Lonchura striata: one gene and its partners. The protein of the gene in region 1 interacts with the protein of each later gene in a biochemical or structural test. Links are inferred from orthologs where the notes say so. Each region holds a gene or a part of one and is shown on either strand. Other genes may lie near its edges.

Evidence for each region.
Region 2: the proteins of RPS6KA1 (region 1) and MAGI3 interact in a test that uses a peptide from one of them, tested with the Homo sapiens proteins (2 studies listed by BioGRID and IntAct). The link is inferred for Lonchura striata from reciprocal best matches to the Homo sapiens genes RPS6KA1 and MAGI3.
Region 3: the proteins of RPS6KA1 (region 1) and PDZRN4 interact in a test that uses a peptide from one of them, tested with the Homo sapiens proteins (2 studies listed by BioGRID and IntAct, with this or other methods). The link is inferred for Lonchura striata from reciprocal best matches to the Homo sapiens genes RPS6KA1 and PDZRN4.
Region 4: the proteins of RPS6KA1 (region 1) and PDZRN3 interact in a test that uses a peptide from one of them, tested with the Homo sapiens proteins (2 studies listed by BioGRID and IntAct, with this or other methods). The link is inferred for Lonchura striata from reciprocal best matches to the Homo sapiens genes RPS6KA1 and PDZRN3.

Annotation. Positions count from the first base shown.
Region 1 is NC_134628.1:279,862-287,493, reverse strand, and holds the start of RPS6KA1 (ribosomal protein S6 kinase alpha-1), read left to right. Parts: upstream 1-4,619; 5' UTR 4,620-4,666; coding exon 4,667-4,729; intron 4,730-7,632. UniProt on the Homo sapiens protein: Serine/threonine-protein kinase that acts downstream of ERK (MAPK1/ERK2 and MAPK3/ERK1) signaling and mediates mitogenic and stress-induced activation of the transcription factors CREB1, ETV1/ER81 and NR4A1/NUR77, regulates translation through RPS6 and EIF4B phosphorylation, and mediates cellular proliferation, survival, and differentiation by modulating mTOR signaling and repressing pro-apoptotic function of BAD and DAPK1.
Region 2 is NC_134632.1:5,997,585-6,005,196, forward strand, and holds the start of MAGI3 (membrane-associated guanylate kinase, WW and PDZ domain-containing protein 3), read left to right. Parts: upstream 1-4,612; 5' UTR 4,613-4,691; coding exon 4,692-5,013; intron 5,014-7,612.
Region 3 is NC_134607.1:38,354,241-38,361,404, reverse strand, and holds the start of PDZRN4 (PDZ domain-containing RING finger protein 4), read right to left. Parts: upstream 3,006-7,164; coding exon 2,364-3,005; intron 118-2,363; coding exon 31-117; intron 1-30.
Region 4 is NC_134614.1:21,033,251-21,040,183, forward strand, and holds the start of PDZRN3 (E3 ubiquitin-protein ligase PDZRN3), read right to left. Parts: upstream 3,013-6,933; 5' UTR 2,819-3,012; coding exon 2,102-2,818; intron 1-2,101. UniProt on the Homo sapiens protein: E3 ubiquitin-protein ligase. Plays an important role in regulating the surface level of MUSK on myotubes. Mediates the ubiquitination of MUSK, promoting its endocytosis and lysosomal degradation. Might contribute to terminal myogenic differentiation.

The DNA of each region.
Region 1 (7,632 bases):
AGATTTTCTTTTTCCAGGGAATCAGGTTTCTGCCATCAGTGAAGCTGTTGTGCCTTTTGTTCCGTTCCCAACAAGGAACCCATTGAGCATTCTTTGGATGTATCTCCTACCTGGCCCTGAAGCCAACTGAGTCATGGCTGTGCTCTGCACTGCCTGGAGCAGGTATAAAATACAGAAACAATTGTTATTAGGAGAGACCTGTTTCTCTCTCCCTAAATGCTGAAGGCACCTCTTTCCCCACCTCTCCAAAAGCTCATGCTTGTGTTAAGCCTTCCTACCTGATCCAATCAGTCATTAGGCCAAAATATTCCTGGCCAGGATCACTTCTCATCTTTTATAAGTATATTTTTATGGTTATTTTGGGATGTGGCTTTTCAAGGCTGGCTGTGTGCAGTGGTCTCTGTTTAGTAAGGGGACTGAGAAGTGAAATGCTGCCAGTCATATATTGATCTGAAATCAGACATAAAGTTTGGGGTCCCCCAAAGGAAAATCGGTTTCTGTGGTGTTTGGGCTTCTCGTCAGGATTTCTGAAATTTGCTTCCAAGCCTAAAATGTTTTCTTTTCTTTTTGCTGTGGAGTGATGGCATCCCAAACTCCAGGATGGGGTAATTAGGAGCAGGTATCTGTGAGTGCCTCCTGCAAAGCAGGACCAGACTTGTTCAGCTGCAGGATGTCAGCTCCAGACCGCAAACCCTGGAATGACATTTTCCTCTCCCTGGAGCTGGAATTCTGTTGAAATGTGCTTTTGTTTTCTCCTCCCCTCTCTGGAGAAAGTGGGACCTGTGTGCTCTGGAAGCAGCACAAAACCGAGGGTATCTTTTTGTATCCACTTAAAAGCCCCATCATTTGTTTACAAGTTCTTAAACCTAAAAGAACCATAAACCCTGACTGTACTTGGTGCTGTGTTTACTCAAGTTTCTCCCTCCTGGGGGACAGTGCAAACAGCCCTGGCAACTTCAGTTCTGTTTACAGTTTCTGATAGTTTTCTCTTTCATGCTTTCACTCCCTCACATAGCCCTACACTGAAATAAGCTAGAAACATAGCTGTGTGCTCATTAAAAACTAAATTTGATGGATAACTTGCTCTAAATAACTTCCCACCTGGGCTGCAGATCTGTTCTAAAAATTAAATTAGAAAAGGTGAGGAAATGCTTGTATTTTACATGGGGTTTTGAAAAAGCCTTTTTCAGGTAGGTAAAGGAATATTTTACAAAAGAAATTCTGTGTGAGGGTGGGCAGGCCCTGGCACAGGGTGCCCAGAGCAGCTGTGGCTGCCCCTGGATCCCTGGCGGTGCCCAAGGCCAGGCTGGACATTGGGCTTGGGACAGTGGAAGGTGCCCCTGCCCATGGAATTGGATGAACTTTAATGTCCCTTTCAACCCAAAAAATTCCACGATTCCGGGTGCAGTTTGAGCCACAACCTCTCGATGTTTGGAGGCAGAACTGGTCCGTGCAGCCTGCAGAGCTCTGCTGGGTGCTGAGCACAGGGAGCACGGGCAGATCCCAGGTCCTCAGCAGTTCCTCGGGAACCCAAAAGGATGGACAGCTGTGAAACAGCTCCTCTGTGTCCCAGGAACAGCCAAAGCTTAGGCCAGAACCACATGGAATTGGGCAAAGCATTATGGACCGGCCGTGCATAGATTTAATTCCAAAAACCCAAGTCGCCTCCCACTCTCCCCCCACATGCTGTGAGGAGATGTGTGGGTTTCAAACAGATGTGCTCCTCCTTCTCTTCGGGTGCCAAGGGCTGCATCCTGCGCCGGAGCCACTCGCTGGTTGGCATCCAGGAAAGGGAAGGTGACTGATCCAGGAGCCGGGCAGCGATTGTGTCCATGACAACCGGCAGACACGGCCTCGCCGCCTCGCTCGGCTCCTTCCTTCCCCAGCGCCTTCCCCGGGCACATCCCGGCTCGCGGCTCCCTCGGCTGCATCCAGCATTCCTGAGAGAAAGGTGCAAAGCCCACAAACGAGGCACATTCCCTGGAGCCAGCAGCTCGGTCGGTTCTGCAGCAGAAATCCGGGGCTGGAGCTGTGTGCTTCACCGAGAGGCTCCGGAGCTGCGGATGGGGACGGGTGGATCCACTGAGATACCGCGCGGGACAGGGGGGCTTGGCAGACTGAGAGTCTGCGGGGCCGGCAGGCAAAATGCACTTTATTCTGACAAAAAAGAAATGGTTTAGATGTGCTGGATGCCTTCAGAAATGCATCTGAGCTGAGCAAGGGAACGTGGTGCTGACCTGTGCAGGAATGTCGGCCGAGGTTGGAGGTGTTTGCTCCACAGAGCCTCAGTCTGCACAATCCCTGTTCAGGGAGCAGGAACTGCCTGGGCTGTGCTTCCTCGAGAGCTCTGCATCCCACTGCCTGCTGTGGTGCAATTCCTGCATTCCGACCACTGCCTGGACCTGCCTTGGAAAACGCTGGCATTTGAGGCAGCTGCAATCACACCCAGCGTGGAGGAACAGAAAGAAATCTGTCAGAAAAGCAAAAAGCTCTTAGAGGCAGCCAGTTTTTCTCATTTCCAGGGCCCCTGCTTTGTATCTTCAACGTGGTTTTTACCACGCTACGGAAAAATGTTCCTGGGATCAAAACAAGGTGATCCATCATCTCATCCTCCATAGTGGCAAAACAAAGCAGAAGAGGCAAAGAAATGAGATGGTGAATGGAGAGCCAGGGATTAAAAGACAGGATGTGGAGTTCAGGTTCTGCCCTGACACTGAAAACCTGACTCAGTTTCCCTGTGAGGACAACAACGAGCTTTGGATCTGATTGGTCAATATTAAAAGTACAAAGAGGGTTGCTGCAAGCTCTAATTAATTGACTGTCTTAGCAAATTAGAAGAGTCTGTAAATTGTAGCAGATATTTGGGATTCAGCCTTGCAAGGAAGGTCTTGTGCCTGTGATCTTTTTTGCATTTCCTTGGGTGTGTAAAAGCAGCAGCCCACAAAGCAGGCAGGGGATGAGATGCCCATGCATTCAGAAAAAAAGAAAGGATGCAGTGAGCCATGGGAGCACTGGGTTACTGTGGCCATGGGGAGAATCACTTGGCCAGCTTTTGGAGCAGTCAGGCAAAATTGGATCTGGTAGTGATGATACAGATCAGTCTCCATCTGCTCTGGAAGTGCTTTGGGGGTGTCCTGGTTTCAGCTGGGATAGAGTTAATTTTCTTCTTAACTGGCTTAACAAATGTTGTCAGCGTTTCTGCAAAGGAAAAATGTTACACAGCCAGCCAGCTGCAGAGGCAAAAATATCTACAACTGTATTGGAGGAGGATTTGATGGTTTTAAAACCAAACTAAACCCGCAGCATTTTGAACTTCTAGCAGCACTGACAAAGCATCCAGCTGATCCCAAGTCTCTGTTTACCACAGCAGCAGCTCTTCCCAGCCTGCAACTGTCTCAGAAAAATGCCAGGCTGTATGTTTTAATCACTGTATTTAGCCATGACAGTCACCCAAACAGCAGATTTTGCTTTTTGCACCCTGCTTCCAGGATCAAGGATGCTTTTTATAGCTGTTCTTTGACTGGAAATAAATCCTGGGGGACACCGCTACCTCATTTCTCTTACCCTGACATCCTGGACTTAGCAGCAATTTCCTGTGGCACATTTCACCTTCTGTTAATCCAGCTTGGATTCAGCATTACCTGGAGCAGGAATGGAGGGAAGGTCAGTCTGAGAACTTCTGGCTTCTCTTGGGCTCCTGGAGCTGGCGATGGAGAGGCCGGAGCGTTTCCCCCCAGCATCACTGTGGTGTCACCACAACCTTTTTTGGGGTGTTATTTACTTTTGAGATACTGTAGAGCTACCTCAGCAAAATCCTCTCCTTTAACAAAAGTAGCTGCAGAGAATAATCACAAGTCATTTGTGGTCTCCCCAAAGTCTTTCATTTGCTGTTTTGCTAAAAGGAGTGGACAGGGTAATCTGGCAGTTTTATTTAGGTGAAGCTTCATGATTTCTGTCTTTGTCAAGTCCTGAGGCAGCATGTCTGTCTCTGTGTTATGAAATATGATGGATTTCCTGCATCCCAACCTGGCAGGGGTGGAAGCAGCAGCACTTCTGTCCCCATGCTCTCCATAGGCCTTGATCTGGATATTGCCCATGAACCTTTCACTGCGGCCTTCAAGAAGAAGACTTGATTTTCTACTGTAACTTTTCAACACTTCCAAAGTTATTTATTTGTAACTTAAAAAAAGCAATTGGTTGGACAGGAGGGGACAGCCGGGGGGGTCTCTGCTCCCAGAGAACAGGGACAGGAGGAGAAGGAATGGCCTCAGGCTGCCTCGGGGGAGGTTTAGGTTGGATATTGGGAAACATTCCTTCACCAAAAGGCTGGTCAGGCATTGAAACACGCTGCCCAGGTTGAGTCACCATCCCTCGAGGGATTTAAAGCCGCGTGGCTGTGGCACTGGCAGCGCGGGTTAGCGGTGGCCTGGGGCCGGGGGCATGGCGGGACTCGATGCTTCGCCGGGAGCTTTTCCAGCCCCGGCGATCCCGCGCTCCGACCCGCCGCACGCCGGGCTGGGCTTGCCGGATGCTCCGGGCGGGGGATCCCCGCAGCCCCTCCCCGGCGGCTCCCGCCCCCCGCCCCGCCCCGGCCCGGCCCGGAGCCGGTGCGTGCCCGGCCCGGCGGCGCTCGCAGCCAGCCCGGCGCGGGCAGCCGGCGGCAGCGATGCCGCTCGCCCAGCTGGCCGAGCCCTGGCCCGACATGGAGCTGGTGCATCTGGACACGGAGGTGAGCGGGGGGGCTCCGGGGCGGGGGGCTCCGCCGAACAAAGGAGCGCCCGGCGGGACCCGCGGAGCGGCGCGGGCCGAGCCGCGCCCGCGGCGGGGCAGCGCGGCCGCGGAGCCCGGCGCTGCGGGGCTCTGCTCGGGGCACCGCGGCTCGCTGCTGCCCGTGCGGCTCTGATCGTGCCGGGAGTGCAGGCAGCGCTCCCCAGTCTGCCGGGCACACGGCAAAGCGGAGCCGGCTGAAGGCCCGGGGAATAAAAATCTCAATTTTGGGGGTTTTCTCCCTCACCCTCCCAGCGCCGTCTTCTCGCAAAGGCCTGCGCCGCCAACTCCGACCACGCTCCGGTGTCACTTTGCTGGACTCTGCTCTTCCCTCCCCTTTGGCTCTTTTCCTCCTTACTGAGACCCCCAAGCCAGATGTGCAGGATGGAGCTCATCCCCTGTCCACATCTGCAGGCTGGCACAGCCATTTCTGACGGAAGGGACAGCTTGCAGCAGTTGTCACCCATGGCAGAGCAGTTGTGCTCTGTGCTCTGGCACTCTTCAGTTAAACGTATTCTCACTCAAACTGGAACCAGCAGCTCTCCCGGAGAAACCAGAGGGAAGGTGGGGGTTTGGTCCCAGGTGTTTCACAGACCCTGGTGCTTTCCTGTCGTTCTCTCTGGATTTCATGCTGTCACACTCCGTTATCATACCTGGGGATATCTCCGTGGTTAATTGGTCAGATTTGCTCATTCCTGTTTAAAATTGCCTCTTCAGAGGTCTGTGCTTTGAGCAGCGGCAGCGCTCCCGCCCCCGCTGCAGGGAGGCACTGGCCATTGAGGTGAGGTTTCCGAATTTTCATCAGCCAGCTATGGCACAGCTTCTGCAGCCCCCGTGAGGTGGGCAGGCTCTGCCTGGGCTCAACACCTGGCACGAAGGTGGCTGAAGAGCCTCTGCTCTGGAGCACCGGCGGAGCCGTGAGGAGGAGTTTGTGCTCCAGGCTGGGAGAGGAGGGAAATCCTGCGGCGATTCCCAAATCGCGTCATGTCCCCGAGCCAGGCCGTGGGTTATTGCTGCGAGTCGGGGCTTTTTATTTGTGGTTTCTCCTTCCTAAGAAGAGAGATGCCTGAAAAGCCAGGAAACGCCACTCGGCTCATAATGGGAGGAAACGAGTGCGGGTGCCCAGGGCAGGGGAAGCCGCGGGCGAGGCTCCATTCAGTGCCTAATCCCGGTGTCCCGGTGTCCCGGTGCCGGCGGGCGCCGTGTCAGCGCCACGGGATCGCTCCGAGCGGAAACGGCCGGGGGACCGGGCGGCAGGCACCGATCTCCCCATCGCAGGAGCGGCTGCGCTGCTCGGAAGCCGAGAGCGGAGGGAGCCTCTGGCTCTCCCTGCCCCGTCTCACCTTGGCGCAGCTCCGGGGCAGGGCCGGGCGCCACGCGCGGGTGGGATTGCAGCGGATCAGGTGTTTTGCGTCTCGGGAGCTCGAGTGGCACTTAGCAATTTGCCTCTCTTTGGTTTAAAATGATGAGTACACGCTCTTAATTCCAGCGAGGAATATAATACAGGTGTTCTTCACCTCCACACCTGGTCAGACGTTAGAGAGCTGCCTGAGGTCCTGCAGCAGAGCGGGAATGGGGCTTGGGAGGAGTGTTGCACTTTGAGGCTATAATCGCCAAGGGCAGGGGCCCAAGGGGGAAGTTTTCACCCCTCCTGGGAGAGGTGGCACCACTGAGAAAGCAAGGAGACGTTTCTGGAACACTGGTTACGTAAATTGCCCTGGGATCGCTGCCATCCAGGTTAGAAACCGGCTTCCTCCGACCTTTGCTTTCTGAGTCATGGAGCAGAGGTGCTGTCACCGTGCTGCTGGAGGCATCAGTCCTTTTGTTGAGGGATTTGGGGTTTTTCCACTATGTTCCAGGAGAATTGGCCGTGTGGTGCCCCTTGTCCCGGCCCACCAGAGCTCAGCCATGCCAGGGAAACGCGTGGGAGTGGGTGGCAATGGGAGCCTGAACTGCTCCCTGACAGGAGCCAACTCCCTCTGTCCTGGACTCTGGGCTTTACAATCACTGCTCCTGCTTTTATTCCCCTTGCCATTCTCTCTTCTGCTTATATTATTCCAAATATTGGTTATTGTAGCAGAAAAACGTGGCTGGGGCAGAGTACAAAAGCTGGAGAATGGAGTTGAGTGACGCAGAAATCCTTCCCTGGGAGGGTGGGCAGCCCTGGCACAGGTGCCCAGAGCAGCTGGGGCTGCCCTGGATCCCTGGCAGTGCCCAGGGCCAGGCTGGACAGGGCCTGGAGCAGCCTGGGACAGTGGGAGGTGTCCCTGCCATGGCAGGGGGAATGAGGTGGGCTTTAAGGTCCTTTCCATCCCAAACCATCCTGTGTTTCTTTGATTCCATGACTTCATCCCCATAGTGGTGGATCTGTCATCAGGGCTCCGCTTTGCTTCAAATTCTTCTTTCATTACACAAACCTACAACAATGCAACTGACGTGGGATTACGCCAAGCTCCACCACTTCAAGCTAATTATTTTTGCCTGTATATACGTATCACCCTTTATTGAGCAGGAGCTATTAATGAATAACTCTTTTCTCAAGCATGGTAGCTCGAGTTGTGCAAACTACGATCAAGAGACAAGGGAGACAGCTGAGTGGCTGTCATCCCTGATATGCCTTGTGCAGAGCCTCCTCTGTTTGGGCACTGGAGTTCCTTTGGAGATCTCTATTCTTGTAGAATTATTTCCTTTCTCCAAACTGTAGTAGGCAAGATCCATAAATTCTACTTAATGGTAATAATTTAAACATGCCTTGTTCTTGTGTCAAACTAGCAGGAGCTCTGGGGTGAAGGGTTTCTCCCTCTGCTCCTTCCTTGAGTGCTTCATGGCTCATCAGAGTTGGGTGGAAGAGCAGCTCTGGGTACC
Region 2 (7,612 bases), on another chromosome or scaffold:
TGAACACTGCTGTCATTGTACAAAGCAGTACAACTCAGGTCAGAGGCAGACTCATCCCTTGACCAAGCTTTTAACCTGTTGGCAGTTGTTTGTGTTAAGCAAACAAACAATTTTCTGTCAGTTTTCCCCCATATTCTCCATCGCAGGGTTACAGAGCTTCCTTCAACTGAGTTGTCTTTCATTTAATGAGTGTTAGTTTAAAAGGATTTGTGATGTTTCAGTTGCAAAATGATGTTGAATATGCAGCTGGAAAATTGAGGCATACAGAGGATCTGTATTCACTGCTGATTTACTGTAAAATCTTGGTTGAAACATCTAAAATTCCCAGTCCAGAACTCTTGCTGTTTACAGGATTCCTGAGGAAACATTCAACACTGTTCTCTGCTCTCTGATGATCAGTGATAGTAGTACTGAAGGCACAACATGGAACTGTGTCAGAGGAAGTTTAAGCTGGATATTGGGAAACAGTTCTTCTCCCCATAGGGTGGTTGGGCACTGAAATGGCTCCTCAGGGCAGAGCAGTTGTCATGCCCCAAGGCTGCCAGAGCTCAAGGAGTGTTTGGACAACACTCTCAAGCACATGGTAGGATTTTGGGGTTGTCCTGTGCAGGGTCAGGAATTGGACTTGATGATCATATTCTATGATTCTCTGATTCTATTGTATGCAATGATCAGTAGTTCTGCATTGCTCGAGAATGGTTATTTATATGTGAAAGAGGAGCAAAGAAGGATATACGACTGTGTGGATGCTATTCCTGCTGGTACAGCCTCTCATTTGCCTGCTGTGCTGATGTGTTTATGAAATACAGGCAGGTTTATGATGCAGCTTTGCATCAGCGAAGAATGCATTGATCCCCATCTACAGCCTGCTGGGTTGATACATTCTCCTTTCCCAGGTGAGGAGCACAGACACCAGGGATTGGTGTCTGCCCAGGGTGACAAAGACTTCTCTTGAGGCTTGAGTTTATTCTCTAAGCTTTACAAAATTCCCTGGTAAGGTCTGGTTCCACGGCAGCTTCTGCTCCTGTACAAGTTAATTTATGACATGTTTTAAAGTTTGCCTTCAGATAAATGTCTCTTAGAGTCACACAGTTTTCAAATAGACAGTCCTGGATATGTCTGTCAACAGAACAGCAAGTGCCTGGCTTTGAACCACTCTTATTCAACTGTGATTTGTTTGTGCTTCCTCAGAGGCATGGAGCTTCCTGAATAATTTCTGACCCTGTGTTTGAGATGAGGGCTCTGTTAGGGAATAACACTGTGCCCACTGCTGCTTCCTGGCAACTGATTTTGTTTTCAGTTAATGCAGTGGAGTTAACCATCACTTGTTGGTTCTCCCAAAAGCTGTAAAACATTGTGGTCAGGTAGTGGTGTTGTGAGAGAGACAGAGCTCCTGTGTGCCCAGTCACCAGGAAAATAGGAAATAACATCCTTCTGCATGAACAAATGCCATCTCTGTATCAGTGCAACTGGCTTTCATGTCATCCTTGCTGAGGAAGAAGGTGTTCTTATTTTGTGTTTGTGCATGTTGTGTGAGTATTTTGCCTCTGTGGCACAGGATTGCTGACCTATACGTCACACCAAGATTTGCATGGCAAGCACTGGGCATGAGGAAAAGGGCTTCAGAGGAATCTAAACACAATACCACAATTCCTTTCCTAACCACTCTGAGACAATATGTCTTCATGCTCTAATTAAACAGCGGTTTGACATGTTTTTGCTGTTTTGATTGCCTTTGAACTTTGGCAGTGTGATAAACAAACTTTACTTCCTTTCCTACCAAAAACTGTGCTGCCTTAAAAGAGTTTATGTCCTTCATTCTGGTGTGACAGATCTTAGCATCCTCTTCTTGTGGCATTCTGTATGTGCTGATGCCAACAGCAGAGTGGACTGGCAGCTGTCACAGTGTGATGGGTGATGAACCAGGGATGCTGGAGCTCTGATGTTTCTTTGATAGCCCCTTTTAACTCACTGAGAGCTCCAAACATTAATGATTTCTCAGCCCTCAGCAGGTCACCACTGGTGGGGGTGCAAGGGCACATTCCTTTCTGATCGTGTCCAAGGCTGTGCAGACACTTCATGTGTCTGGGATACGTGATGAGTAATATGGAACAAGAAATGAAAGCAAGACAAATGGACTAAAGCTGTCAGCCAGTTCCCAGGCAGCCCGTACATGTTTCGAAGTTTGTTCATGGAGAGCAGGAGGAATATCCTTCATGTAATGTACAATGAACTTGCCCAACTTGCTAGCATAATAAAATTTGCAACAATTAGGCAGCTTGTTTTGGCTTTTAAGTTTATATGGAAGCATACTCTTAAAGACAACAGTACTTTCATTGCAGAACAGCAGTTTCATTGGTTTTTTTACCAGTGTTATTAATTGGCATATGTCAGTATTTTGGAGCTGCCCTCCATTTCAGGTGTGTAAATGCAGTGCACATTTCAACCCAAGGTTTGAAGTCTTGGCCAGTGAAAAGACTGAGCTGTAATTTCCTAAGGTGAGGGCTGGACAAACCTTCTGCTTAGGGGGAGGGACAAACTTCCAACCCTTGAGCCAGTCAGACACTCATCTCTTCCTTGAGATATCCACACTGTCTGCACAGGACTCTGTGTATTCTCTGGAACATCTGGCAAAAGCTACCATCAGCAGCTCATAAATTACAGCTCATGCCTGATGTCACAATTCCCATGTGAAAAACTGAAGACCTGTTTTAAACAATGTGACAGTGTCTCTTTTAATGTCCAGTTCACAAGCTTTCAGCCTTTTTGCTTCTATTCTGCAAGCGTGAAATAAAATTTATCTCTGGTGGCTTTTTCCATGCCTGTTGGCAGGCAGCCCAGTGCGCCTCAAATAGCAGCGAACACGATGAGCTGAACCTGTGCTTGTAGCATTTGGTTAATGTCCCCAAAAAAAGTATGGATTACATTGTTTTACCCCAGCAAGTAAGATTGGTGTTCTTCTGACTTCTTTGGAAACATTCTTGCTTTTTTTTTTGTAAAAGCCATAGACTACTAGGCCTTAATGGTAGACAAATCTCTAAGAACTGGAAAAGGGAAAATTTCTGGTTGCAGAAGTTACTGTTTTTTGTTACGAGCAGGTTTCTTAGTGGTTTCACTTACTATTTATCGCTGCAAAATTCAGTGTTGAAATCTGATACTTCTAACACACTGTGTTGTCCAGACTGAGGTGAACACAGGGACACAGCAATGGGAACAAAAATCCATTGTTTTACAACTCAGCAATTATTCTTTAGGCTCTGCAGGCACCAGCTTCTTCACTTCCTCCTACAGAAAAGAAAGCAGTACTTCAGTCATAGCTCTTTATTTGCAAACAGTGGCAAGGTTATACTTTCTCAGGACTCAGATTTTTTTCCAGCCCTGCTGCTCCTTACAGACTTCAGCCCACTGGGCACAGCTGGAGCCTTCAAGATGCTCCTAAAACATTGTAGACATCACAAGAGATTTGCAGTGAAAATTCAGCCTCTGATTAAGAGAAAAAAATTTGAGGACTGGGCAGTGAATTTTGCAATTTGAACCAGAAAGCTTTCAAATAATTATTTTCCAGCTTTTATAGCAGTGACACTGATTTTGAATGAACTTTCCTCTGCTTCATACTTTTTAGTGTTTCCTTTCTTCGGCAGCTGCACTGTGCTCCCAAATGCTGGAATGTACATGTCGCATACCTGGCGTGTAATCTGCACCTGGCATGAGTTAATTGCTATGCTGAGTTCTGTGAATCACAGCTAAATAAACAGGCTCATGTGAAGAGAAAACCCACTGGATTTGTGTTTCCAGTTGAAAAAGTATCTGCATGTTTATATTTAAATTGTTCCGAGCTCTGTTTTGGCCTGAGGTCATCAAACTACTTTGAACCAACTGGTTCCAGTGGCAGTAGCCATAGGAATGCTGGGAATACACAGGAGTGGTCTCCGCCTGTCTGATTGTGCAGGCACTAAGTGCAAACATGAGAGCAGATTATGGACACCCCACCTCAGCTCTCACACCTATCTCAAACCCAGCTGCCAAGGGGGTCTCCTGGCTAAGGGGTGACCCTGGCTGAAGGTAAACTCTTCCTTAGGTGGGAGCTGACTGGGAGCTCTTAGCTGATAAGGCCCTGGCTGAGGGGAGCTCCTGTCTGAGGAGAGATCCCGACAGAGATGCTGGGTGACAGGAGACCCTGCCTGGGATGGGCACTGACTGAGGAACTCCTGGCTGAGGAGAGATCCTGCACGACGCAAGCCCTCGCTGAGAGCGACCCTGCTGCAACGGGCGCTGGCGGGGGAACTGCCGGATGAGGGGGTATCTCGGCCTAGGCGGGCATTGCCCGAGGGGCTCTTTCCGGGCGAGGAGGACACACCCGGAACGTGCCGCAGCTCCTGGGGGTCCCGGCGGGCCAGGTCTAAGCCCCCTACGTGCCCCGGCTCGGCCTGGCCCGGCACCCGCGCAGCCTCGGACCGGCAGCCCCGCGCCAGGGCCGCGGCCAAGGGGCGGCAGGGCGCGGCGGGCCGGGAGGGGCGCGGCCAGCGAGGCAGGCAGGGCGCGGCGGAGACGGGAAGAGCGGAGCCTGGCGGGGAGGGGCGGCGGGGCGGCGCGGGGCGGGGCGGCGCGCTGGGGCGGCAGTCGGGCGGCAGCCGCGGCCGGGGCGGGAGCGGCGGCAGCGCGGGGTGGGTAGGGTCGCCCCGTGTTGCGGCATGTCCAAGACGCTGCGGAAGAAGCGGCACTGGCTGAGCAAGGTGCAGGAGTGCGTGGTGTCCTGGGGCGGCCCAGCGGGCCCCGACCCCGATCTGCTGCGCGGCGGCGCCGAGCGCGGCGAGTTCCCGTACCTGGCGGGCCGGCTGCCCGCGGGCGGCGAGGACTCGCCGGGCCCCGCGCTGCTCTCGGGCAAGGCGCCGGCGCCGGGGGACGTGCTGCTGGAGGTGAACGGTACCCCGGTGAGCGGCCTCACGCACCGCGACACGCTAGCCGTGGTGCGGCACTTCAGGGAGCCCGTACGCCTCAAGACCGTGCGCCCAGGTGAGCGCCCTCCACCGCCGAGCTGGACCGAGGCCCTCCCGCCGCCGCCCAGCCGGCCGCGCGTAGGCCCGGCCGCGCCGGCGCCCTGGGGCGGCGGGAGGGCCGCGGCGGGGAGCGGCGCCCGGAGGCAACCGGGCGGAATCCGGGGCGCGGGTGCCCCGCTGGGAAAGTTTCCGCGGGTTCGGGAAGGCGCCGCTGCCGAGAGGGGTGATGCAAGGCAGGAGGCGGTCCCGCAGTCTCGGGGCGGCCTCAGGACGGTGCTCTCTCCCCAGTCCCGTCCCGGTAGCCTCTCCCGAGGGTCCTCTCCCCGTCCGGAATGCCCGGCTTCGCGATGCAGCGTTTGTGCGGGTGTGACCCTCGCGGGGCTCTGGGTGACTCAATGGCCCCTGGAGGGTCTGGTGCCTGCGTCCTCCTCTCGGAGGTGCAGGAGGTGCTTTCCGTGGTGTTTATATAATCCGCTGCTTGCAGAGGTCGAGGGTGGGTGGGGAATGGCCGGGATGGAGCACCGGAGTGCCATCGCTTCATCCTCTTAGTTTCCCACTTGGCAGAGATAAAAGCCCTGAGAACAAACTCCGGCTGTTATTTTTTCCACAGATTTGTATTATTTTTGAGTACACTTCAATTAGCTAGTGCTTGTGGTAACATCATATTTATCAACGTGCCTGTTAAATGTCAGAGTAATGCTGAATAGTGGCGCTTGCAGCTGCATGAGTTAATTCATGAGCTCCAGAGGTACCTTCTGCTTTCTTGGTCAGGCAAACCAGATGTGAGCCTGCTGCCTTATAAGAAGGTGTCTTGGGAAAAAGTATTTTTCTCTGAATCTCAATGGATATCAGTATCTCTATTATTAGGGTCTATAATATTTCTCCTAGTGCTTCTTTGCTGAGCACTTGTCTTGTTCTTCTTTGGTAACTGCTGGGTGCTCTCTGACTTCATGTAATATGTATTTTAAGTCGGGTTTTCCCTGTTTGACCACTAATGGAAAGTCATGTTCCATATAGAGATTGTGCTGTTGGTCCTGATTCATATAACTTGCTAAATTAAAGCAACAATCAAAAAAAAATCCCATGAAACAGACACACATCTTAGAAGCCTGGTAGGTTTTGAAAAAGGTCTTTATTTACAAAATTGGAAGTCCCTTCTGAAGGGAGAAAATGTAAAAGAAAAAACAGCTGCAAGTTAGATGTGAACTAAGAGGATTTTAAAAAGAGAGACAAATTGTTTAAGATAAAAAATAATCTCTTTTTAAAAGAGAAAGCTTGTGAAAGATGAAATTATAGTTCATAGGGATTTCTTGTATTTCCTATGGAGGGAGTATTCTTGTGCTGGTAATTTCTTAACAGCAATGTCAAACTGGCAAAAAATATTTAGAAGAAATAGCTGCAATTAGCAGTAGAAAATGGCAAGAGCTAGATGATGTTCATGAGGGCTTCCAGGTATTAACAGTAGTGCATTGCCTGTTCCTTAAATTCTGGGTGGTGTGAAAGGGAGAGGAGTGGGGAGTATAGAGTACTGATAAGAAAAGAGTCCAGAAGGTCAACAGAGGCTGGTTGGTGATTCCAGCAAGTTGATTAAAATTTGAGTTTTAGAAGAGAAATAGAACATTGGGCATGTGAACCAATACCACTTAATGAGCAGAGTGGGCTGCTTTCACTGGCTGGTTTAATCAAATCCGAGTATTTTGGTGAGGTGGATTTTCAAATAGGCTTTCAGTAAGGTATCACTGACTTGGATGAGTCTCTTGCTGAGTGAGCATGGTGTGGCAGTGTAGCTGCCAAAATAGAAGAGCAGAATTCTCCTGTGGCTTAGTAACTAGTTAAAACAGAGGAATGGTTTCTTCAACAGAAGAAAACTGCTGCTGGAGTCTTGTAAGGACCTGTGCTGTTTAGCATAGTCATCCAGAGCTTGTAAACCTGATGCTGGTGAGTTGTACAAAGAGAAATAGCATTTTTGTGCTGATTTTATGTAACTTTTGGAACAGATCAAACAAAATCTTCAGAACCAGCAATTTTTCCCATACTGGAGCATATGTACCGCATCAGATGATTTTTGTAGTCATTTTCTCAGTTAGATTTAGTGTCCTTGAATACAGTATTTTAAAATATACTGGGTTTTGGTTGTTTTTTGCAAGGCTGCCACAGCTGCACAATGGCAATTTTCCAGTCAGGGTATATGTAATTAGGGAAGTTGTTGACAAGGCATTCTCTGTGAAGACCTGTGACTTTGAATTTGGCTTCCCTTTTGATCCAGAGCTATCCAAACCCGCCAAGTTTTGGAAGGCGTCTGGGAAGGTGCATGTGACCATGCAGGTGGTTGAGATGAAGGGAGTGAGGGCCAGGAGCTGGTGGTCCCTGGTAGGCACATAATACGTCTGAATTCTCAAAGACATGTAATTGTGTTACTGCATTTCAGGGTCCTGTGTTTCATGATTTTCCTCAGTCAAAACTGAAACCATCATTTGAAAGGCATGGAGTGCTCTGCCAGCAGACCTTTGTGTGCCCCATGGCTCTTCAGGCTTGGGTGCTATTGGGATAGAAGTCCGAGGGAATCTAGTGTCAGGGACTGACAGTGAGGGATTTGTCTCCTTGAATCTGAAGTG
Region 3 (7,164 bases), on another chromosome or scaffold:
AAAATCACCTACAGTTACTTTCTGCATTACCTGACTGGGTCGTCCTCCTACAATATTGAATCCCAAAGTGTCATTTTCTCGGTGTAGCATGATCACTAATGGTTTGCGTACTCCTCCCTAAGAAGAAAGAGATTAAACATTGTTAAAGAACACAGTCTCAACAAGAAGTTATTAAATGAAAACATTATTTCATGTAAGATTTTAGCTGGAGAATATATAAGATAAGGCTTGAAGAAAAACTAGGCTGAAAAGACTTGGCACTGGAAAAAAAAAAAAAAAAAAAAAAAGAAAAGACAAGATTCACTGAAAAGTTAGCAGGTAACACCTGATTATCTCCAGTTATCTTCAGCTGAACAGAAAAAAAGGACAGATTTTAGGTGTCAGGAATGCTTGGCACCACTGAAAAAAGTCAGAGCTCCAAATGTCTGGAAGTGTCTATAAACATAAAATCCCTATTAGTGTTAACATTTTAGACATTAAACATACAGATTAAAATACACAACATTATAAATTTCAGACCCCAAAGTCCTACCAGTACACATTTTAAAGCGATTTTCAGAGAACACAGAGAAGATGAAAACCAGTTTTTATCCCAAACTTTTTCTTTCCAAAAGGAAAGAATCCAAAACATCTGTAAAAATATGGGTTGTAGTCTGAAAAAAGGCTTAAAGTATAAACCAGACACTGAGAAGTATACACGTAGAAAAGGTTAAAGATGAGAAAAGAAAAAATCTTTTCCTTCAGTGGACCAGGTGAATAATTAAAATATTTTAAAATTGAAAATCGGAGGCTTTAGCACAGCAAGTTACCTTACTTTACGCTGAAACCCACATGTTATTAACTGTGCCAGTGACGTGTCTTATGCCCGAACGATAGGTTTGAATTTAATCCCGTGCATGTCTACGGGAACAGCGCAGCGCGACGGAGATGCGCGGGCGGCAGCGCCCACAGCGCCACCTGCCGGCGGCGCGGGCGCAGCGCCGCTCCGCACCGCGGCCGGCCCCCAGCGACAGTCCCGCCGCTCCTCCCGCCGCACCACCCCTTTCCTCGCCACCCCCCGAGCAGGCACTGTCCCACTGCTGTCCCACAACACATGACCTTATCTCGTCTGACAAGAGATGAAGAAAGTGTATGAAACCTCTCAGGTCCACCAACCTAAACCTCACAAACTAGCTAACTAGAGGAAACGTAAAAAAAAAAAAAATTACTCAAGTTTTCAGAATTACTCAAGACCTCCGAGACCTGTATTCTGAGGCATTCTTGTGTCCTGTGAACAACGTCCCCTTTCCCATTTTCCATGCAGTAGGCAGATGCCCAGCACACTACATTGCTTCTTCGGGTGTGAGTTTCACTGCTCAGACCTTTTCCACCTGGGATTTTGCTTCCCAAGGGCCCAGGTAGATTTAGGTAGAAAGAAAAATTCCTTGCATTAAAATACTTCTCACCACGGCTGCAGTCAGCAGTGCCTGAGCCTACACAGTGAGCTTCCAGGCAGGAATTAAAAACCAACCAGTTCCACCACAGCAAGTGAAGCCAGCTCACCGCAATTCTCGCATGGTTTGTTTTGCCTGAGGAGCGTGTCGGTCTCTGGGCAATGCCCTCAGATCTGAGAGGCGAGCGCAGCAATGCTCCGGCCTCTGCTTATCAACGGCGGTAGCTGTCATGCCATTCTCCCAAAGCTTCGCTGTCCTTTTGCCATCGTTTCCAAAGTCTACAATAAGTTTGCACTCAAGTTTTTTAAGACGACTTCTAGCTGCTCAAATAAAAGTTAAAAGCCAGCTCCACGCCCCTGAGCTGCCGCCAGTACCAGCTGGAGCAAAACGAGAAACAAGAGCAGCTGGGTCCCTGCGAGGCGGGGCGGTCTGATGTGGACACCCTGATCGGACGAGCCGGGACCCGCTTGCCAGCTGCCAGCCCAGGAGCGAAGCCATCTCCCCTCCCGTCCGCTCCCCATTCTCTCCGGCCGAGCAAGCGCTCGGTCGCAGCCTCTGCCAAGCACTGCTGGGCTCACCGATTTCGGCTACCGAAGGGCGCCGGAAGAGGGACAGGCAGGGAGCGTGTCCCCAGTGGAGGTGTTACAAAAAAAAATCAGTAAAAACAAAACTCTTCATCTGGCAACAGGGACCGGCGACTATATCTCCCCGAAAGAGGCGAGAGACGGCTCGTACCGCCCGGGGGATGGGCAGCGAGATCGGGCTGGGTCCCGGACTGCTGTGGTGGTGACTGCCGGCCCCGGGGGCACCGCCCGCCCCGTCACTCGGCCGGTGGCTCACAAATCGGGTACGGGCAAAGCAGGAGGAGAGCACAGCTGGAGGGGCGCAGACCAGGCGCGCTGCCCCGCCGACCCTTGACGCCGCACTCACCTTGCCGGGCTGGCCGCCCGCCAGGTCCCGGGCGATGCTGCTGATGTGGCTCATGTACTGGCCGAACTTCGCCTGGTACCGCCGCGCCGTCAGCTGCACCTCGCTCTGCAGCGCCGACAGCTGCGCCAGCAGCGACTTCTCCCTCCTGCTCCAGCGCAGGGCCTCCCTCTTCAGCTCCTGACCCGGCTCCGGGGCGCCGCCGCCCCGCAGCGCCCGCAGGCAGCGGTGCCCGCCGTCCGCCCGCGGCTGCCCCGCCGCGCTGCCCGGCGAGCGGCCGGGGGAGCGCCCGGCCAGGGGCTGCGGCTCGGCGGGGCCGGCCGGCCCGTAGCGGCACGCCGCCAGGTGCGCGGGCAGCTCCCGCAGCCGCACGGTGCGGCCGCAGCCCCGCGGGCTGTAGTCGCACTTGACCTCCAGCTTCTGGACGAGGCTGCGGAGGGGCAGGACGGGGCGCAGCTCGGCGGCCGCCAGCGGCCGGCAGCGCAGCGGGCAGCGGCGGCGCCGCGCCGCCCAGGGCAGCAGGCAGCCGGCGCAGAAGACGTGCCCGCACGGAGTGGACAGCGGCTCCTCCAGCACCCGCCCGCACAGCCCGCACTGCAGCTCCGCCGCCACCGGCCCCGCGAACCGCGATGGGTCGAAGCCCATGGCGCGGCCGGGCACCGCGAAACTTTCGGCGCCGCGACCCCGGCCTGGCCCCGGCGCCGCTGGAGCCGGTCCCGGCGGGCGGCGGCGAGGGGCGGGCGGAGGAGCGGGGCTGCGCCGGGAGAGGCGGGCGGCGGCGCTGAGACGGAGATCCCGGCGGCTCTCCCCACCCTCTCGCATTAGCTCCCTCTTCGCGGCGCTACCGCCCCACGCCCAGCGCCGGCACCACCTCCGCCCTCCCGGAGCATCCTCGCTGCGCGGCGGGGCCAGGGACCGAGGCGCCGGGACGCGCCGCCGCTCGGCCCGCGCCCGCCGCCCTCCCCCCGCGGGCACTGTCCCGGCGGGAGAGCTGTGTCCCGGCGGGTCACTCGGGACTGGGCTGTGGGCCCGGAGGGAGGGAGGGAGCTGAAAGGCTGCGGGACAGCGAATCGCTCAGGCTCCGACTGATGCACACTTGTGCTGGTAAATAACGCGCACGTGTGAGCACGCCGGTTTCATGTCTCTCCAAAAGGCTTCCTCCTCTCTTTTCCTCCCGTTTTGGGATATCTGTCAGGACACAGAGTCCTGAAATCCCTAGTACTAGTGCTCTCTTTGCTGTCACACCATAAAGGAAATAAGTCAGGATAACAAAATTATTTGTTGGGCTCCCTTAAACTACAGCATATGCATAAACAATACGTTTCTTTAAAGAAAAGCTAAAACACAGCAAAATCTGGAAAAGCCTAGTTAGGATCAATAGCTGCCTGGATTCTACCCCTTCATTGCTGCACAACCCACAACATACACTGAAACATGAAACCCCTAACACATTCCCCACATAACTTCACTACTGAAAACACAGGGCCAGATTGCTGCCCCCAGCCCTGTGGAAAACCTCCCAGAGCAGAGAGGGATGGAGCTCTCTGAGGGGTTTCTTCAGTGGACTCCTTCTCATGTGGATCAGACACCATCATTTTTGGAAAGGATGACAGGTTTGGTCTGTCCAGGCTCGATCACAGATTATTTCCTGGGCTGAGAACTTCTGAGGTTAGAGCCAGGGTGTGTCCTCACCACTTCTGCAATTTCTACTTCAAATTCTGAATCTCAGAAGCATCCCTCTAGGAAAGCTATGGGGGTTTTTGAGACCCAGTAATGAATGGTTCTTTTCCATGACTAAAAATATATAATGTGAGCAATACAGCTGAGACTTTTTTTCCCCCAAAGCAAGAAGGAAAACCTTGCACATACCTGCCCATAGAACTGAATCTGGGATAGCAGATGTTATGTATACTCATGATTTACTTAAAAAAAAGATTGGCAATACCTCACAAAACATCTACAGACACAAATACTAGTGAGAAGCATGACCAATCTACTTGCCAAATGGAAACCCACAGTTTTTCTTGGATTACCATGGCCATGAAAAAAAATAAGCAAATGAACTGCACCATCAAATATCTCTCATCTTGAAGACAATGCATTGTAATCCAATATTTCATTGCAGATCAAAATCACATTTTCCCACATGAAAAAGGAAATCAGACACCTTGAGTAATTGTGCTATTCATACTGCTTTTTAATAATCTATCCATGGATTTCAATTGCTTTGCTCATGGAGTCAAATCAGTGTCATCCAAAATGCTATAGAAAATTATTTTTAAATAGTGTCCTCCTCTCCATTTTTAAATTTAACTATTAGCTTGGCCTCATTATTTGTTTACATACTCTTCTGTCTCATAGTGTCCCAATGTATCTCTTTGACCTCATTATTCATGGCCCAGAACTTCAGGTCTGAGCACAGGCAGTAATGTCTTCATTCATAAATTAAACTGGGCAGAGAAAAGGCTCTGACACTGTTTCATAATCTGTTAAACTGGTATTGCTTCTGTTAGTGTGATTCTTGAAATGGCTTTGGTGAAGATGTGTGAGCAGCCTCCAAAACCACAGCTGGACACAGCATTAGCACTGCAGGGGCAAGTGCCAAGAGATAGTTTGGGGTGGCTGCCCTCTTTGGGAGGTGGAGGCTTAAGGGCAAGGCTGTGAGTCCTTCTGGGGTCCCTGGCACATTTTATTCACCAGTATAAAGGCAGTCAAAGGAAGGAGGTAGCAAGGTTTGAGCCCTGGAGACTTTCAGATTCTTTTAGATTAGGTGATTAATTAAACAATGGTTTAGGCTTCCTATGGTAATCATACTTAAAAAAACCAACTCTGTCCTTTCTGGCCCATTTTGGGCATTGATACAATGTCAATGCACTGGCTAAACAGTTCCAGGCAGTTGACTTTTTCTTCCCTTGTGCTGGACTAAGAGATCATCTTTCTTTGCCATGATGTCAGCACAAATGGAAGCACAGGCAACTGGGTTGATTGCAGAAACAATTTTCCAGTGCAGGAACCTGTAATACAGACAAATATACTAAACTCATCTAAAGATAACAGCTGTCTGCATACCAGGCCTCCATGGAAATGGATACACATGGATAAATACATGCAAATGTTACCAATGTGCTTACAAAAGATGATTCCTATAATTAGTCCTATTAGTTCTGATGTAATCAGGAAATGAAAAACACAATCTTCCTACTGTCCTGAAGTATTCTTAAAGAGACAACATAATTATAATTTTTTTTTGCTTCTCCAGGGTCTCAGCACCCACAGCTCCAAGTTTCCTACAGCCACTCCAGTCATGGGTTCATTGAGGTGGTCAAAGAAGGAAATGCAGATTTAGGGAGATGGAGAGAGGCTGAAGAGCATAGGAGCAGCAGTGCTCTCCTGAACACTGGGGACAGCTGTTATAGCAACACACTGGGACTGAACCTGGTCATGGATCAAATAAATGTGCAGAGCCTTGTCCCCAGATCAGTCCATGTCTTCAAGAGCTTCTAACACATTCATTTTTGCTCTGCTCAGTAAGGCAGGAAAAGTAATTAGAGATAAGAAAGCATTTGCTTCCTTAGTCACAGGTACCTACACACGCACACACACACACACACACACACACACACATTTTGTGGGAGGATTTTGGTGAAGGTAACTGTCCTGAAGGAATTCTTTACCAGCACAGAACCCCAGCTGCTCCTGATCATCAGAGCTGGGAGGAAGAGCTATTTCTATTAAAAATAGAGGGTCATATTTGCCCATAGTTCTTTTCTCATCCTAGGAGGATCTACAGCTTAAAGGATGAATTTTACAGCTGTTTCCAAGTCTTCTGATGAAAATATCAGAAGACAATAAGAAATTAGTACTCTGAAATATTGAAGGTTTCTGTAAGGCTCCAGGCTCCACTGAAGCCAAAGGGGGAAATCCTGCAAGCTTTCAACTCACATATGTGGGAATAAAATATGTATTTTTATATTCCCACCCTCATTTTCATAAAAAATTGGCCTGTTATTCATCCACAGAATTTCACAAAAAGGTTCTTTTTCCAGTCACACTAGTAAAATTCTGTAACTAATCTAGACCTAGGAAGACTCAGCAACTTCACTCTAAGAACTTAGATCTGAGCATTTGCTATTAAAAGCTGTTATCATCAGAAATCTGCAAAGAATTTTTTTTTGCAATTTTTAAGTCAGCAAGGAATTTTTCTGTACTACAGTTTATCATTGAGCATAGTAAAAGTGTTTGGGGGAAGTGTTCAAGTCTGAGAGTGTACAGATTTTTGCTGAAACCTGAGCAAGTATTTGCATTCATCAATTAAGGAAAGAAAATTCAGCTAAGCTGCATACATTGAGAGAAGAAGATTACATCCAGAAAACATTTGTAATTTATGTTATTCACCAGCACAAAGACACTATATGATCTCTATGTTTGTGCAACTATGTATAACATCAAATAAATCAACAATTCGCTCTGGCCACCAGGAAAACGAGAACTAGTCTTAAAAACCAGTTAGTGGGTGGTCTAGAGTTTTGGCTTGCCTCTTTTACTCACTAAATAGCCATAAGCAAGTCCTGAAAAGCTTTTCACTTTTCACTTACTGCTAATGCTACCCAGCAGAATATACAGCAGTCATCTTAAGTCCCTATACAACACCTGTAGTGAACAAAGATGCCTCACCAGGGCACCTTAGGGAAATCATAATTGAAATATGCACCTTCCAACACAACAGGTGGACAAAAGCACCTTCCAGGATGTGCCTGACCTGGGAGGTGTGCTCTGCAGTCACACCCTTGAGGTGTGAACCTTG
Region 4 (6,933 bases), on another chromosome or scaffold:
CAGCTGCCCAAAATGCTGTGAAAGGCACGGAATTGGCTGACCAGGGCTGTGGTGACACGACACCTCCCAGCTTTCTCCAGACTGGTGGCTGCTCCAGAGAACTGCACAACAGCCCTTTGTAACGGGGCTGGACCCGGCACAGGGGTCTGGGCCAGCTGTACCCATAAATCTGATAGGAAGTATAGCTGAAAATATGTGTCATGAACATTTGCAGCCAAGAAGGAGCAGCTCTGAGGATTACAGCAGCTCCCTACACCGTACAGAGCTAAACGATGCCAACCCAACATCAGCAGCACCAGCCATGGAAAAAGGGTGGTGTGGGAATAAAGGAGAGCAAAGAGGAGGAGGCAGGGGTTGGGTGAGATGGTTTCTGACAGCAGGACAGTGTGCAGGGCTCTCCTGCCATCAGCAGTGGAGATGGAGCTGTGTGCCAGGCTGTGGGAGCAGAAAGCCCCCAGAATGCCATGGCAAAGTGCTGCAGGAAAAGGGGGAGACACCACTGTCCTGAATCTTGATATGACTGTGAACCCCCAATTTATTTTAATGGTATTACTAGCATTTTGACCAGCACACACCCAGTATTGCCTGAAGTTAGAACACTTCATTTAGTATTAAAATATTTTCTGGTTTGAGTTAGGAAAAGAAGGATGGGTTCTGTCCTGGATTCCTAAGAAGGTTAAAAAAAAAAAAAAAAGATCCTCTGACATGAAGTTTTATTTCCTTTACACAGCTTTTAGAGCCTCAACATTACCAGAGGTGTGAATACAGATGTTTGACAGTTTTGAACAGTTTAATACTGCTGTGTCTGTGGTAGCACATTCCAGGTCACTGGGAGGACTCTGAATGTCTTAATTTAAAAGATAATTGGCTTCCAGGGCTTTCCTCGCTGGGGAGCCTCATTCCAATTAAAACTTGGGGATTGTTGTAGCTCTGGCATTTAATTCTGGTCATTTTATAAATGGTCTAATTTTGAGGGGTTGAAATCAAGTTAATTTTTCCCTTCCTAATTAAAAAACCCTGTGTGATGATGGAAAAAAAAAAATCACAAGTACACAGCAAATATCTTGTATGTGGATGTGGATTTTACAAAGATGATGACCACAGATCCTGAAATAGCCAGTGAGATCTCCAAGTTGCATCATAGTTAACCCCAAAGCCTGCATTTTGTAGGAAGCCCTATTGTGGGATGCCAGGTGAGCTCAGGCTCTGGAAAGCATCGGATCACAGCGGCTTCTTCCAATTCACTCCGCTTTGTGTGACTCCTGGGAGTCAATTTCTGCTGCCTTAATACCATTTCCAGCCCTGGAAATTCCACTTTTAGAGTTTCTTCGGGGAAGAGAACCAAGAGAAAACAGTAACACCGCGAATTGTTACTTTTCTGTGCGAGTTAGGAGTCCAGCCAGCAATGACGATCACACTTAAAAACATACCTACAGAAAGATGTACCTATAGATGTGCAACTTAAAGATACGCCTAGAGAAAGCGGCGTATTACCCCTATTGAACCCCAAAGCTCAAATATTTGAAAAGATTTGCGGCCGGATGGGCTCTCCAGGAGAAACCCTGCACATGGGAACGCCCCGGGCGCCGCGCACGGGACAAGGCGCATCCCTAAGGATCCATCCCGGGGGACAAGGCGCATCCCTAAGGATCCATCCCGGGGGACAAGGCGCATTCCCTAAGGATGCATCCCGGGGGACAAGGCGCATCCCTAAGGATGCATCCCGGGGGACAAGGCGCATCCCTAAGGATGCATCCCGGGGGACAAGACACATCCCGAGGGACCAGGTGCATCCCGGGGGACAAGGCGCATCCCTAAGGATCCATCCCGGGGGACAAGGCGCATTCCCTAAGGATGCATCCCGGGGGACAAGGCGCATCCCTAAGGATGCATCCCGGGGGACAAGACACATCCCGAGGGACCAGGCGCAACCCGGGGGACAAGACACATGCGGAGGGACCAGGCGCATCCCTAGGGACAAGGAGCATCCCTAGGGACAAGGCGCATCCCTAGGGACAAGGCGCATCCCGGGGGACAAGGCGCATCCCTAGGGACCAGGCGCATCCCGGGGGACCCCGGGCAGCGCGGGGTCCATCCTTACCTTGCCGGGGGAAGCTGCGCGGGCGCGGGCCAGCGCGTCCAGGCGGGCGCTGTACTGCGTGAAGCGCTTCTGGTAGCGCAGCGCCGTCACCTGCAGCTCCAGCTGCGCCGCCGCCAGCCGCGACAGCAGCGACTGCTCCCGCTTGCCGGCGCGCAGCGCCTCCTTCTTCAGCGCCTTCTCCAGCGCGGCCGCCCGCGCCTGCAGCGCGGCGCCGTGTGCGCGCAGCGCCCGCAGGCAGCCGTGGGCGCCGGCGCGGCGCTCGCCGTGGGTCAGCACCAGCCCGCAGCCCTGCTCGCACAGCCCCGCGGGCCGCGCCTCGCAGCGCTCCCGCATGTGCGCTTCCACGTCGCGCAGGTTGAGCACCTGGCGGCAGCCGCGGTTGCGGCACTTGGCCGGAGAGAAGTCGCAGGTCTCGGCGTGCTCGCCCAGGTGCTGCAGCGGCACCACCGCCTCGCAGCCCCGCGCGTGGTTGTCGCACTTGATGTCCAGCTTGAGGATGAGGCTCTTGAGGGGCAGGACGTGGTTGAGCTCCTTGGTGGAGATGCGCTGGCAGTTGACGGGGCAGCTGCCCTGCTGCACCACCCAGGGCAGCACGCAGCCCGCGCAGAAGACGTGTCCGCACGGGGTGGTCAGCGGGTCCTCCAGCACCTTGTTGCACAGGTTGCACTTGAAGTCGGGATCCACCTCCCCGCTGAAGCGATCCAGCTCGAACCCCATCCTCCTTCCGCTCCGCCGCAAACAACAGAAGAAAAGGAAAAAAGAAAAAAAAAAAAAAAAACAACCCAGAAAAAGTACCCGGAGTGCAGCGACGGGCCGGGGCAGAGGCGGAGAACGGGAATAAATTAAGTCCGAGCCGCCCGAGAGGCAGCTGAGCCCCCGGCGCGGCCCGCGGCCGTGCCCCGTCCCCGCCGGTCCCGGAGCGCCGGGAGGAGCCGCGGCCGCGCCGCCGCCTGCGCGCAGCGCCCGCCCCGGCCGGCACCGCCCCCGGCCGGCACCGCCCCCGGCCCCGCTCCCCGCCGGACAACCGGGCTTTGTGCCGGCTCGGGGCTGCGCCCGGCCCCGCGCTGCTGCCCCGGCCCCCGAGCCCGCCGGCGGAGCGCGGCCGGGGCGGCGCCGCGCACACGAGCGAAAGTACCCGCGGGGACGGGATGGGATGGGATGGGATGGGATGGGATGGGATGGGATGGGATGGGATGGGATGGGATGGGATGGGATGGGATGGGATGGGATGGGATGGGGCCGCGCAGGGGGAGCGGGGTGAGAGCAGGGAACGGGAGAGGGAGGGATGGAGGGGATGGAGGGGATGGAGGGGATGGAGGGGAGGGGGAGCGCTGGGAGGGGCGCGACAAGGTGAGAGCGACCGGCCTCGGCCGCCGGCAGCGGTGACGGGAGGGATCGCTCGGAGCGACGCGGGGCGCATCGGCTGAGCACAGGGCAGCCCCGAGCTACCTGGTGTAGTGGAAAGCGTTCCTGACTGTGGTAAAAGGTTTGGAACCGGATGGTCTTCAAGGTTCCTTCCAACCCAAACCATCCAATGGCTCTGTGATGACTTTTGGAAAGGGCATTCACGGAGTTGCCCCTGGGGTCAGGTCCTGGACGAGTTGCTTAGAAATTGGGATGACTCCTCAGTCCTCAAGAGTGAATTCTTACATTACCGACGAGAAAAAGTGCAAACAGAACAATCTGCCGGTGTGTGAGGGTCTGCCAGTGTGTGAAGGACCGAAACATTAAGGGTTAATGATTTGCAAAAGCACCAGGGTGCTTTGCTGAGGTCAGGTTTGCACCCCGCAGCTGAAGGAGAGATGAAGACGTTTTGGGTGTGTGGTGGCAAAATCTCTGATCTGCCCAAGAACAGCCCAGATAGGGGGGGGATGAACACACACCGCCAAAGGATGGCCACGACAAATCAACCTTTGTTTAGCAACAAACCGAGTTTTGAGCCAGATGGGGGAGAAAGCTGGTAAGAAACAGACCCTGTGCAGGTGGGGAATGCTTTCTGTCATGCCCATGTCCTCCCTTACACACCTGGCTCAGGTGTAAGTGCCTTCTCGGGTCGGGGTATCGGGACGTTCACACACAGACCTGAGAGTTTTCATCCCTTCTGAGAAGGCACAACTGGCTCAGCTGTGCAGTCATGTCTGAGAAGGGGCCATAAACCATCAAAGATTCCCAAAGTGCCCCCAGACTCATGATCCAGTGTTGCAACAGAGAGTGGAAAACTCCCCCTCCAGGGGAGGCACTAGCACCTGAATCTGAACCTGTGTTATGCCACCAAACTTTATGTTCCATGGATTTCCTGTAGCCCTGATGGATGAAGGCTGAGACCATCACTTTGACAAATGGGCATCAAAACTGCAGCAGTCAAATCTTGTTTCTGGATCCACAGGTGGTGATATCTTTCCTTTCCACTGTCTACTCTTATCCTTTCTTTCTCTTTCTTCCTAATTATTTTCTTAAGTGATCTTATACTTTCATATTGCTCCTAATAGAGTAATATACTTACATATTGCTCTATTACTATAGATAATACCCAGAAGAGCTATGTACCTCCTTTCCCTTACATACAAATTGTTCCAAAATAAACTTGCCGTATATTTTATATAAATAAAAATACTCCATTCAGTGTCATTTCATTCTAATCCCCCCAAGGGATCTGTGAACAAGAACCTCAGCAACCAGTGCTGTCCACATCCTCATGGAAAAGGGATCAGATTGTTCTGTGTTTGCACAGGCTGCTAATGCCCCGTTGCTGCCCCTTGGATGTAGCTGATGTAGCTCATTAAAAGCCACCACTTTTGATACCTGTTCCTGCCCAGGGATGATTGAAAAGCACTCCTGAATATGCTGTAAAAAGCCAGCCAGACCACACCTGAAGCACCAGGCACAGCATTAGGCAACAGCAATTTCTCCTACAAGGCAGATATTCAAGTACTGAAAAAAAAAGCAATAAAAGAGACCAGCTTTGTTCATTGTGGATAGTGATGAAGAATTCTCACGTGCACCAGAGCCACAGAGCAGCTCAATTGTTCTTTTAAAATGTTTTTCTTTATGGCAAAGCAGAAGCCAGCGAGAAACTTCAGCTTCAAGTGGCCTTTATTGTGTGTCTGTGATGTCCCAGTAAAGCAACTTTCTGAATGCCTGCGATGACTTTTTGTGTGTTGGTGACCTCTAGAAGGTAACAAGACTCGTGGTTACACAACTGTGTTCCCATTTCAGTCTCAGGCAAGTATTTTTTAGTGCTAAGCCTTTTTCCTTTTCAAATCTGAATTCCATCTGTAGTGCTCATTCTAATTATTAATGTTCCATAAAGCTTGAGGTTGCTTTTGGCTCCATACATTGCCCTGCCGAAGGGAGCATGCATCAATATTTAGGGTGATATACCTAACTAAGGAATTTTTAACAGATTTGTTCCTTTTTTTTAAAAAAAAAAAAAAAGCAGATGATGTAATAGAGAACTGTGCATATAGGTTTCTGTTAACTCCATCTGAAGGTTGTGTGCACTGCAGGGTGATAAAATTTAATTAATACACGTATATTGCTGACTTTTGGATTCTTCTAATTAAACTGCAGTAGTTATTCTCATACTTCTTCTTGTGTTTCACTGCCTTTTGCATCTTCCTTCTCTTTGCCATCTGTTTCTCCTCGGGATATCTCTGCTCACGTGTCCCTCCTGCCATTCCCCTTCCTTCAGTGCCACTTCTGCTCCCTCCATCCCCTGGGGCCAGCAGCCCTGCCCTGCTGAGTCCCCACATGCAGCTGCAGTGTCAGTTCACACTTCCCTAGCAGGACTCTCTCGTCCTCCACTTTGCCACAAAACTTGGGATTGCTGCTATCAATCACAGCATCTGCTTTTTCCAGGGGCATTTAAATGAACTAAAACTCCACACTGCCTGCTCAGGGGATGCACACAGTCCAGCTGAGGGGGTTTGGTGCTCATTGCTGGAGCTGCTGTGTCTCTGATGGGGAAATCCAGCAGTGCACCTGGTCCTGAGCAGGCTGCTTTGAGAGAGCTGCTCCAAATCAGCCACCATCACCCCACAGACTCCTCTACCCCGGTTTATAAACTGCCCCGTGTGCTCAGGATGGTTGTAAATAGAATGAAATTAATTCCTTCAATGATTGCTGTGGAGGTTTGGGTTTAGGATTTCAAAGTTGTCGCTCCAGGATGCTCGAGGCCACTGCCTGAAGCCAGAGGCAGAGCTTTTATTGATTTCCACCAGGGTGACGTCAGGACCAGGTTCCTTGGGCTATTTGAAACTACACAAATATTTGGATGGAAAATACAGGCAAGAACTGGAATAACATTTTCACTTGGAGCCGTGGCTGGGCAGATGCTGTGCTGAATTCTGTGATACACTTTAATGTGACATTTATGTAGGAATAGATACTTTATTTATAAATTAAAGCTTTTGAAGGCCACTGCAGCCTTGCACTGAGATTACAGCTTGGACTGCTGACAGGGAATTGAAATTTCCCTCTCCCTGCTGCCTCTGTCCATGGGAGAAGGCACAAATGGAGCTTTCCCTACTGGAGACACATTTCTGTTCTCTTTTGGAAAAAAAAGAGAAAAGTCTGAAAAGCAGCCTCTCATCATGAGACTTTAATGTTCTTTTCAAAGCCTGAGGTTTGTAACTGAGGAGAGGTTTGGGTTCCAGGGCTGAAATTACACTGCCCCAGCTAAGGAAGGTCGTTTTTATTTAGTAAATTCTCTCATCCTCAGAGGTAGTGCTGGGGTGGGACCACTGCTGAGCCATTAAGGCTCTCCCACTTAGCTTTGCTCCCTTGTCAAAGGAAGGGTGAGGAAATGTCAGTTTGGGATACAGCACAGGCAA